Arabidopsis thaliana: one gene and its partner. The protein of the gene in region 2 interacts with the protein of the main gene of each other region in a pairwise test. Each region holds a gene or a part of one and is shown on either strand. Other genes may lie near its edges.

Region 1 (5,507 bases), 7.8 Mb from region 2:
AACACCAGAAAAGCAATAAGATTGTTGTGGACTCATAATTACTTTCTGTGTGTATGTGTGTGCAGTGTGTGGTAAGTAATAGGTTATGACTATGGCTTCTGAGTATGCCTTTAATAAGAAAAAAGGAAAATAAAAACACTTCTGGAGTTTAGTTCTTGACTTCGAGAACAATCTATCGTGTGAACTCGTCGGACTTCTTATCCTCCTAATTCTTCATGCATCTCTGCTCAGTGATTTGTGCCACTGGTCCATATAGACTACTGATTGACTCATTCAATTCTAAATTATCCACCACATACGTTTCTTTTTGTTTTTGTTTATCTACCACATACTATCTTGACTTGACCTTGTCGATCGAGTTCATTATTTTTTATTTCATTTTTAATATTCTGAAAACTATGTTCCTAAAAACATGAGGTACGCAGTTTCATGAATTCCAAAAAAAAATTGTCGATTAGAAACAGTTATTAAAAAAATGTAAACTGTATGACCTTGCAGTAGTAACAAACTTAGTTTCTAATCTACTAAGAATGGAAGAAATAAAAACTGAGATTGCTGATAAAAGTGTGTGACAAGTTGCTGTTATTATGAGACAATTGTTGTACTCTTGAGCTCTATGTATGTTTACAATAAAATAAAAGTTTATGTCTACATATCTCAAAATCATCACAAAATTTAAAAGGAGGAAACAAAAGAACGAAAAAGAACAAGATTTAAGATACAGCTTACTAAGAAGGTGATTAAAGATCAATCGATTTTAACCGAAGAGTAGATAAGCCTGGTGAACCAAAAGCATGCGTAGAAACCAATTGCACCAGTAAAGACGAAGAATACGTATGAAACTATGAGCATGTACCCAAAGTAGAGCACTGCAGAGACGAGCTTTGTGATCTCAAGTTTGGTGTAGAAGTAAAAGACTGCGTAAAGAAAGAGGTAAACCGCGGAAGAGCCTGATGTTAAGTAAGATCTCCACCACCATTGATAGTCTTCACTACACAGCTGAAAATAACAGAGGACGACCGTGATCTCTGCGCAAGTGATGATCAAAATGATGAAGACGATGAAGAGGAAGCCGAATATGTAGTAGAACTGATGTAGCCATATTGAGGTGAGTATGAAGAAGAGCTCGATGAAGACTGCGCCAAATGGGAGAATGCCTCCAATCAAAATGGAGAAGATTGGGTTCATGTACCAGGCCTGTGTTGGGATCTGCCGCGGGATCTTGTTGGTTTTCACTGGATCTTCCGGTGCAGGTTTTCTGAAACCAATGTAGCCACCGATGAAAACAAGTGGAACAGAGATACCAAACCAGAGGACAACCAAAGCAAACATTGTACCAAATGGGACTGCACCGGATGATTTTTGTCCCCAGATTATCGCATTAAGGACAAAGAAGGCGACAAAGACGGTAGCGGGAAACATGAATGCGGTTTTCAGAGCGTTTCTTTTCCATTCGGTTCCTCTTAACGTCTTGTAGAGGCGTGAAGACGCGTATCCTGCCAATAGTCCCATGAAAACCCAAAGCAAAAGCATAGCCGTCATAAGACCACCACGGTTTGAAGGAGATAAAAAGCCAAGACAAGCAAAGATCATGGTGACAAGAATCATTCCAAAGCATTGAACTCCAGTGCCTGCATAAACACAAAGCAACTCCGGGTTTGTTGGCGGTCTGAAAACATCTCCGTGTACCAATTTCCAACCCGTCTCTTCGAGGGCCTCTTCATGACTCTCTAACTGATTGTAGTTGGAAATATCTCGGTAGAGTGTTCTTAGCATGATCATAGCGACCATACCAGAGAGGAAAAGAACAATCATCATAGAATTAACGATTGAGAACCAATGAATCTGATCATCAGCCATTAGAAGGTAAGTGTCCCACCTAGACGCCCATTTCACCTCACTTTCCTGGAAGTCAACATCATATGTGAAGATAATCTCGTTCCCTTCTTCAACCTCCTGAGGAGACTCAGAGTTAGTGACTGCACGCTTTGTATGCGGATCACAAGTCGTTAACCGAGCCTTTTCATTCCATTGACCTTCATATTCATGTTTGACACTGCATCGAGATAAAATCAGTAGATGTTAGTCGCTTACACAATACAGAGTCAAAGTCCTTAAATCACAAAAAGCTACCTGAACGGCTTGACTTCAAAGCCAACGATTCTTGAAGAATCGGTCTGTATATCTCTGTGATACCTAACAGTGAAGGTCAAGTGGTTGTGGATAAAATACTTCTCCTCCTTTTTCTACAAGAAAATCAAATAAATAAGAACTCTTTCCATTGAAACATATTCAGAAAAGGTGATGATGAGCTCTTACGCCAGCAAAGATTCCCTTGAGACCAACATGGAAACCATGCTGATACACTACAACATTGTCCTGATCTGGCCTTTGCACCGGAACAACTAGGGGAAGGTTGTCCAAAATCCTGCATAAGAAATCAATCTTCCTCATAAAAACAGAAGAAAAACAAAACACATTCAGTCGAAGGCGACAAAATCAATCTCCTCACATGTTAACTCGATATTCATCAGCAATCTTCTCCTTAAACGCCTTTGCGGTTTTCTTATCAAGCTTCACACGACAAACCGCAGCACACATCTGCGATTCCCTCATTTTAAACTGCAACAAAGAAACAAACAGACATTAAAAACAACTCAACAACTACCACTTAACCAAGACAGATAGAGAAAGAACCAAGAAGAAACAAGAACATACCACAAAAGGAGAGTTCTCAATTCGATCACCACGAAGAACTTCACCGAGATTCTCAGCACTATCAACAATATGTTCTGGACGACAATAAGGAAGAGAATAATAGGAATATGGAAGCTGAGTCTTTGTAGATGTCAATTTATTAACTTTCACCATCAATGCATCTCCCTGAAAAACAAAACCATAACTCCAAAGTTTGAACCTTTATAGATAATGACCATTATACATTCTTCTACTCCAAAAGCTAGATTCACACAGAAACAAGTCTAAACAATGGCTAATACATATAGACTAATGAAACATTCTCTTTAAACACAACACTCAGTGGTAACTGAAGATCAAAATTACCCAAATCTCATAAAACAGAGCCATAGATCCAATTTTAACAAGATTACTTGATCGATTGCGTTGGATCTAAATCAGAAAAAAATCTAGACCCAGTGTGAATCAAAGCTCTAAGAAGAAGCTGCATTTGTGAAATACAGATACAGAGATGATTTTATGTGGCTGACCATTTGGAAATCTTGTGGAGCGACGCCGGGAAGGTAAAATCCATGGATATGGACATTGAGGGAGAAGAATAAGACAAGGGTGAAGATCAAAATCCGAACTTTCGCCATGGATTTGCTCGATTTCGTCTTCTTCTTCGGAGAGTGAAATTTCTTAAATGAAGGAGAAGAGAGTGGGAAGAAACATGGCAATTGGACGATTTATGGCCGTTGGATATTTTAGTATCTCGTTTGATTTAATCAACGGTTGAGATTTCCTAAGTTGGAGCTGTCGGTGATTCTTCTTCTTAAGGTAATGAAATATCAAAGTCAACACTTTTTAAGGTAAAAAAATAAAACTTTGAATAGACAATAATTAAAATCAAAGTCCAATTTACGAGAAATCTAATTTTTAAATAAGGAAACAATTTTTTTTTTTTTTTGTTAATTTAAGTAGATTAGATGAAACTTGTAAATGTAGCAAAGTAGAAATGAGTTAGTGTGGAGGATACGAAATAATTATGAAAAAGTATTCAAAGAATAAAAGAAAAAAATGGATTTAAATCAATTAGAAGACAAAATCCATTTGGTAAATGAAGGTGACCTCTTAACTATTCTAGCAGATTATGAAACCTTACACACACCAGCAACCACCTTGACATATAATTAAATGTACATTACCAATAAATACATGTAAGAAAAAAGCACACACACACACAATACAAATCCGCATTAGATAAATGTAAGTCTTTCTTTTACAGACTGTTTTCAAATTGAAAACGGACGGTTTTCTTCTGGAGATAACTAGTCCGGTATAAATGTAAGCATATAATAGTAATCGCGGAAACTAACTTCTATTATTTCTATTCTATTATAAAGTAAAAGCAGTCGTTGGCAACACAACATTAGAATAATTTGAAAAGATAAGAAAAATTAACATAGCATTTGATATGGGCCAACTCTTTGATGATATTGGGATCGGGAACATGGACTTTGGTATTCTGAGGTATAATATAGTTTTCACGAGTAATGTAGGCATTGTCGTGTGCACCACCTCCGAAATAAATGATTACAAAAGTTCAGTATTATAAAAAATGGTCTAGGCGGTCGTTTACACTCTATCTAGGCACTAGACTCTCAGGTAACGCCTAAATAATCGCTTCGATTGTCTAAAATAACATAAATTGCCATATTTTCTATGTTCACTTGTCCATTTATTATCAATTTTAGGGTCTAAATGATTGTTGTGGTTAAGGTGGACAAATTCGTTTGTGTATTTGACCACGTTTTATTTACCATTTCACAAATTACTTCTGTGTGGATTTAAAAAAGAAAACTGATGCGGATCAACCACATACCGTTTTTACATATAAATAGAGTTGGTTGCGACGGTTTGTTGTCTACTTTAAAAATAGTTCGGATTAAACCATTGACGGATTTATCCATCTTAACTGCCGTAACCATTCAAACTTGTGAGATGAGAGAAGTAACAATCAAAAATACCAATTGATTGCTCGTATCTTACTAGAATTACTGACAAATTCTTCTATAAATGCAACGTTTCTCAAAGAATCTCAAGGTTAAGCTTATTATTGACACTTATATAAACTTCTATTTATTTATTTATTTAAGTAAATAATCAAAATTGCATGAGCATGTTGGCTATAAGAGAAAAATTGCATGAGAATGGCATTCTTATAGATTGATGAAATTCGATTGGTCGTGATTGGATATTCTATACAAGAAAAAAATATTGATACGCTGAGGTAGTCTAAATAGATTATAGTGTTTCATAGAACTAAGAAGGAATTATCGAAAGCAGTCTAATACTTTTTTAATCTTTAAATCATTTGAGGTTCGGGGTTCACGACGAGTGCAACGAACATGAAGACAGACTTTTTTTCTTCAATTTCATCAAACTTTTTTTTTCTTTCTGTTTTATATGCTTCTGCTTCATCACCCTTTTTTCTTTGGGTTTTAAATGTTTCTGGTTCATTCACCTTTTTTCTATGTGGCTTAGGTGCTCCTATTTCATCTCTTAGTTTTCTTTCCAGTTTTTTAGGTCCTTTTGGTTCATTGTTAGCTTGTTGTCGTTTAGATTTAGCATTTTTCAACTTAATGACTTTCTGATATTCCAGATTATTAGATCTAAAATACTCGGAGTCAAACGAATCATATCAGTAACAAAATACAAAACTAGTCACTACTTGCGAATCAATCAAACAAAAATAAAACATCTAATCATGGATGTGTATTCACAAATAACTTACCATTACAAGTGTGTAGTTTACAAATGCTCTGTTT
Region 2 (6,224 bases):
CTTGAAGAGCCTCTTTGGCTGCGACTGCTTCCTCCACATGTCTGTAGTATATAAACGCAAAGCCTCGTGAAGAATACACCGTGATTCTATCAATATCGCCGTATCTTCCAAACAACTCGGTCAGATCTGACTCTGTCGTCTCCGGCGTTAGGCTACCGACCCAAAGATTGTTTGACTGGAAACCGGAATCATCGGCTCTGAATGGCTTCATAGATAACGCCATCGGGATTGTTTCAATTGACGATCCTATGGATCCAAAATTCCAATCCCAGAATTGATTGTTTTACCTTTGGGATTATGAGATTTCGATTATCCACGTGACGGAAAACGAGAGACGAATTGTGCGATGATACGTTGAGCAAGAAAAATTCGATGAGAGATTTGGGTGTTCAAAATCCTACCTACAGAGAGGAGAAGAGAACCCTAGATTGAGTTTGAAGACGAAGAAGATTAGATTGTGAGAGAAAGAGAGGCCAGGGAATATCGAAGCGGCGGCTTTTAAAGGATATATAAGGATACTTTCCTTTTTTTTCTTTTTTTTTTGGAAACCGGATCAAAACGGTGCATTTTGATAGTAGTTATGGCAAATTCGTAAATAATCATATATCCATCCCCTCTCAGTGAAGATTACATCCTGATAGCATAATGTTTGTACATAAGACATCTAATAACTGCAATTAGTCTCTGGGATTGTTGGTGTTCGTTTAGTGGAGGACTTTGGAAGCTTCACATGAACATTGGTTTAGATGAAGCATCAGAAACAGGTATCACCATCCTTTTAATAAATGTTAAGCATTCGACGAATATCCGGGCTAGGTGGTAGAGCTCAAGCTCGTATTGCTCGTAGATGAAGAAACCGGTGAATGAGAACGACATAACTGTCCAAGCAAAGCGTAGAGAAAATGTTATGGATAAAGAAGTTGTTAATCATGTTTATGAAGTTGTTAATCATGTTTATGAAGTGTGAAAACAAAAGCTTTGTTCGAGTACCTGTGAAAAGAAATGCTGCCAATGAACGGGATACAATCAGTTTGAGGAGATACAGTGATCCTGCAATCTGTTTTTATGTTTTGTTTTAGGAAACGAGAGCAATGAGATATTTTTCATGTTTGGTGAGCATAAAGAGTAGAATTGTACCTTGAAGAACTTGATCCAGTCTCCTCCACTGCTTAAGGATTTAAAACTGCGAACTCCTTGATTCCAGACAACTACGATATCACTACTAAGATCTCTCACAGCGGATTCGGAGATCTCAAATCTCCATGGGGGTATTTTGTTGACTTGAAACCCGAAACTGTCAAAATAAATCAATCTGTCACTTAGTTGCATATAGATTTCAAAGGTGAAATATATATACATGGGTGCATCATCCTTTGATAGGACAATTTTGGTATCACAACTTATTTTCACTGCCTTCTATAATGGTAAAGTTCTGGAACCAATACTTACATCTTTGACGGCACAAAAGAGACTCCATAGAGAGCAACAGCAAATATAAACAGAAGTTGGGCTGCAGATGAAGTAAATGTGTTTCCAGAAAAGAAGAACCAGTAATAAAACAAGTTTAGGACAAGAAAAGAAACGAAGGTTTTCTTCTCATTTCTCCACAGCAAGATGTCTGCAACTGCATGAGAACATAGAGATGAAAAGCTAAGTCAGTTTAAAGAGATTAATATTAAAAGCTTGCATTGACCAGATTCGCTTTGAGTTTGTTTATATGTGCATGAAATAAAGTTGGAACTCGCATGAAATTACATGGACTGGAAGAAGATGTAAATTAACCAAGCAGATACTTCAGCATGTTCTAGACATCTAGAAGCAAACAAATCTAAGTTGAAAATAGAGATAGATTCTTTCCAGGTTAAGCCTTGTGAACATGCATCATCATATCCATAGCTAGATGAGATGCGGACTTCAAGCAATACAACTGAATACTTAGCCAAGAACACTTCAAAAAGGCATTATAATTGTTAATAGCGAGATGGTTCTAACCTTTCCCACAACCAAGAAGCTGATCTGCAGTAGATTGAATGATTGTGTCATCAGACTTCTCAAGATCCCGAGAGAACCATTGAAGCGTTGATGCAATACCATCCTACAAATCCAACAAGAGCTAATAAATCCAAGGAAGGTACTAAGCAGCTGAATATGCAAAAAGCCAAAATACTATCCAACAAACTCACTTCAAGTGTCACAACAGGTGTGTAACCAAGATGCTTCTTAGCTGCATTGCAGTTAAAAGTTCTCGTTGATGAAGCTAACAGAGCATACTGATGTGCTGTGTCATAATTACTCCCAAGGCCCTCCTTTTCATGTGTCCACTTAAGAAGTGAGAAAACATACAAAACCAGCCGAACAGGAAGTTTAATGGATGGTCTGCAATTAAAGAGGAAAAAAAAATATCAAAACAGGTAAACCAGAAAGTTAGCTCTAAGGATCTAAAACTTTTCAAAATGATCAATATTTAAGACATAGGAGAAGGAAACATATACGACCATGTATAAAATACTAAATATCAGCGAATCACCATGTATAGATAGTTTATATCTAAAAAAACTAATTGAATATGGCTGTTCTCGAAACGGTTCTTCTAGACATGTCTCCAGGACATCTATCAACAGAAAATTAAGATCTTTTGCTTTAAGAAGGGAACATTCAAGGTAGGTTCAGAAGTTCTGAGGAGCCTTTTTCCCATGCTACATTGATAATCAGGAAACAGAAAGATAAAAGGAGTTCACAGCAAGTTTCATTGTATCAAAAACTGTTCGGATGCTTATTTACCTTGGGTATCCCAGACCTTCAACTATATGGCTTACAAAGTCCCAAAATCTGACCGGCTTGAGGTTTGTGATAAAAAATTCCTACATAAAGTCGGCACAGTAAAAATTCATCACATATAAAGTTCATGCGCTTTCAGGAGTGATTTGGCAAATACACTTTGACTCAAAGAGGTTACCTTTCCAGCCACAAACTCCATCTGTGAATCTAATGCTTTAACGGCGCAAATATGTGCATGAGAAACGTTCTCCGAGTAAGTGAAATCAGAGATATTTTCACCACTCCCGAGTATAAACTGAAATTTTAAAAACTAAGACAGTCATTCCTCCAAAAAAGGAAAACTAAGAATGCATCAAGCTCAAGGAATACTACCAGGTATAATAAGATAATAAACGTAGACGCAAAAACGCAACAATGGGATGAACTAATAGTAAGACCTTTGCATATCCGGACTTGGCTAGATTCACCAAAAAAGGTACAAACTCTGTGTCACCAGGTCCAAATACAATGCTAGAGCGAAGTGCACAAGTTAAGAGACCATCTCGGTTGTTAGCCAATTTGATCAACGCTTCTGCTTGAGCTTTGAAGTCTGTCAACATAGATTGGAACTGCAAGAGAATCAGAGCAAAACAGATATCATCTCTGAAAAAGACCAACGACAAAAACCAACTAAACAAACATGCTCAAGGATTACCTTCAAAGGACGTCTCAAGGATTCATCACCATCACGTATAGGTTGGGAACCATCAAAAACAACATCAGCTGTACTGTTGTAGATAAGTTTTCTGACTCCAGATTCACGACAGGCAGAAATCACATTTCTTGTACCTATACGAGAAATCGATTAACCACCCAAGTTTAACTAATATAATGGTAAACCATCTTGAAGTGACTAAGAACTTTACCTTGAACTATAACCTTGTAGCAGTCAAAGTAATCATGGGAACGTAAATCAGTAGCTCCCATGTAAAATACAACATAGGAACCCTCGGTAACTGCAAGGAACAAAACAGTCACACCAAAACTCAAATCAGAACCCGAAAATCTCAAATAGCCAAACACTCCCCCATAGCATTTTCTAGATACCAAAAACCGATCCATCAATGTCATATCTAACAAAGTGCAACAGGAAATAAGAGGAAAACCTTTAACGATCTGAGGTTTATCACGAACATCGACGCAGTGATAAGAAGCGCGGCCGGAGGAGAGAGCATCCTCGAGGAGCGAATCGGATTCATCAAGATGGAGAGTGTGACCGGAATCTGCGACTCGGACTGTCCAGTTTCCGAGACGAAGCAATCTGGAGACAAGCGATCGACCAATGAACCCTCGTCCGCCGAGGACGACACATGTCTTGAGGTGAGAATCGCCATGGACGGAATCTTCGTCCATTGTTATCGCCGAATTAAACCCCAGCTCTATCGCCTTTTCTCGGTCGAGTCAACTCAGAGAAAAAGGCCGAGTCGAGTTGGATCAGTGCACAAAAAGCTGAATACTAGGGGTTGCTTGGCGGGCAGACTCTCCACTCGCGCAACCTTTTAGCGTTTTCCTTTATTCTTCGGCTGTGTAATTATAATTTAATATTCACACTTTTTTGCCATAAATCTATGGATTTGACTTAATTTATGTAAATTATCTGTATAATTATTCCTTGGTTACAAACAAATCTAGTAAAGCTAATATTAAATCGTAGACGCACGGTTGCGTTTTCACGTTTGGTGAGCCAATTCCATCAATCCACCAAACATATGATTTCCATTGTTAGAAATTTGGTAAGCACTTGTAGAGAGAAACTAAACCGTATCTATCTATACACTTGTGTATGTATGTTGAAGCATTCATTACACTTGAAAATCTCATAATTTAATAATTGAGTTTAAACTAAATATTTAGATTTTTTTGTGTTGAATACACAACTTCAAATGATAACTGAAGAAAGCCCAAAACATATAAAATATTGATCTTTGCAGCTGATGATTGACTTGCAAATTTTTCTATACAAATAAGAAAATATACCCAAGTTTTCAGAAACGATCTCTGGCTCTCTGTATACGACGCAATGCTTCAGCTTCGGTTGCTGAGTCTGGAATGCTTAAAGATTTTCGGATATCTTTGCTCGATATTCTGAGGAATGGGTTACACGCTTTCTCAACCTTGACAGTCGTTGGAATCTACAGACAACAAATCCGTAAGTAAATGAAATCTAGAGAGAGGTTTAGAGAGAAAGAGGAGATAGGGAAGAGATAAGAGGTTTTACCGATGGGAGCCCCTGGCTGCGAAGATGGGCGACTCGAGTTGCATAGGACTGAAGAGTTTCATTCTTTGGTTCTACGGATAGAGCAAACTTGAGATTGCCCTGTATCATGGAGGAGATATAAAAGAGAGTTGAACAATGTGAATTAAGAGTATTTATGTGCGTGGAACTTACTGCTGTGTTTTCACGGCCGCAGTATATATTTGTATCGTCTGGTAGAGACACGATCTTTTGGAGTGATGAAAGCATCTGAGTCATAAGGCAAAAAAGGTTTTCTCGTTAAAAAGGACAGAGCACAATAAGTTTGCTTCTGTGAAAGAAACTACAATGTACGGTTATTAGAGTACTCCCAAGTCCCAAGTGATCTCTCCATAAAGTCTATACCATTTGACTCAGCACAGTTTGCCACAAGAAAGTAACCATAACAGTAAAAAGATATGAAGGTTGAAAAAGAAACATGATTTAGAAAACCACAAATCACTTGGCACAATTTTTGCCACAAGAAAATAATCATAACAGTGCAAGGGTCGAGAAGGTTGAAATATTGCTTTTTGAAATTGATGTTACCTGCTCAGGGGTACCTTCTGAAAGGGTACCACAGGATAAGCTATATATCAGGTCTCCTGTGAATATTGTCGCTGACCCGGGAAAGTAGAAGCTAATATGGCCTGCTTGAGAATAAGTACAGTTAAGTGATAAAACATGGCACCAAGTATACATTAATTACTAGTTGTACTACACTAGAACGATAAAAAAGGAGAGCAGTTACACAGTAATGTATTGAGGATAACAAATTAGAATGACAAATAAGATACTAATATGTGATCCACCAAAGGTTTCTAACGTTGGCAATATTTGACTGTATAGATGTGTTCTTAGTATTTTACAGTAGAGGTTATGGCAGCTACAAACCTTGTGTATGGCCAGGAGTGTCAAGTATCCGAACCTCATGGCCAGCAAACATCCACTTATCACTATCCTTCAGAAGTATGTCAATTCCAGGAATCCGATCTTTATCTACAGCTGATCCAATCACCTGTCGGCAACATAAGTCACATAAAAACACTTGAGTATATATAAAAGAAGCAAAAACGAAAAGAACAACTCGACAAAGGTGCAAAACAAAAAGGTCCAAAAAACCATTTTTTCTGGTAAGACTAATACTTTACGACATCTCAAAACCAAACCATTG

What was found. The genes of interacting proteins can lie anywhere in the genome.
Region 1: the proteins of AT2G43420 (region 2) and AT2G24170 interact in a protein complementation assay, tested with the Arabidopsis thaliana proteins (one large-scale study listed by BioGRID).

The regions. Positions count from the first base shown.
Region 1 is NC_003071.7:10,273,560-10,279,066, forward strand, and holds AT2G24170 (Endomembrane protein 70 protein family), read right to left. Parts: upstream 3,708-5,507; 5' UTR 3,630-3,707; intron 3,563-3,629; 5' UTR 3,336-3,562; coding exon 3,228-3,335; intron 2,884-3,227; coding exon 2,719-2,883; intron 2,623-2,718; coding exon 2,513-2,622; intron 2,429-2,512; coding exon 2,320-2,428; intron 2,247-2,319; coding exon 2,134-2,246; intron 2,057-2,133; coding exon 748-2,056; 3' UTR 540-747; downstream 1-539.
Region 2 is NC_003071.7:18,030,767-18,036,990, forward strand, and holds AT2G43420 (3-beta hydroxysteroid dehydrogenase/isomerase family protein), read right to left. Parts: upstream 4,417-6,224; 5' UTR 4,171-4,416; coding exon 3,924-4,170; intron 3,774-3,923; coding exon 3,684-3,773; intron 3,607-3,683; coding exon 3,473-3,606; intron 3,387-3,472; coding exon 3,216-3,386; intron 3,074-3,215; coding exon 2,957-3,073; intron 2,862-2,956; coding exon 2,782-2,861; intron 2,377-2,781; coding exon 2,184-2,376; intron 2,096-2,183; coding exon 1,993-2,095; intron 1,625-1,992; coding exon 1,450-1,624; intron 1,295-1,449; coding exon 1,138-1,294; intron 1,058-1,137; coding exon 991-1,057; intron 879-990; coding exon 727-878; 3' UTR 502-726; downstream 1-501. Other genes in the region: FPA (RNA binding protein), read right to left, coding at 1-223; GLX2-1 (glyoxalase 2-1), read right to left, coding at 4,803-4,949, 5,036-5,134, 5,207-5,281, 5,600-5,700, 5,945-6,068.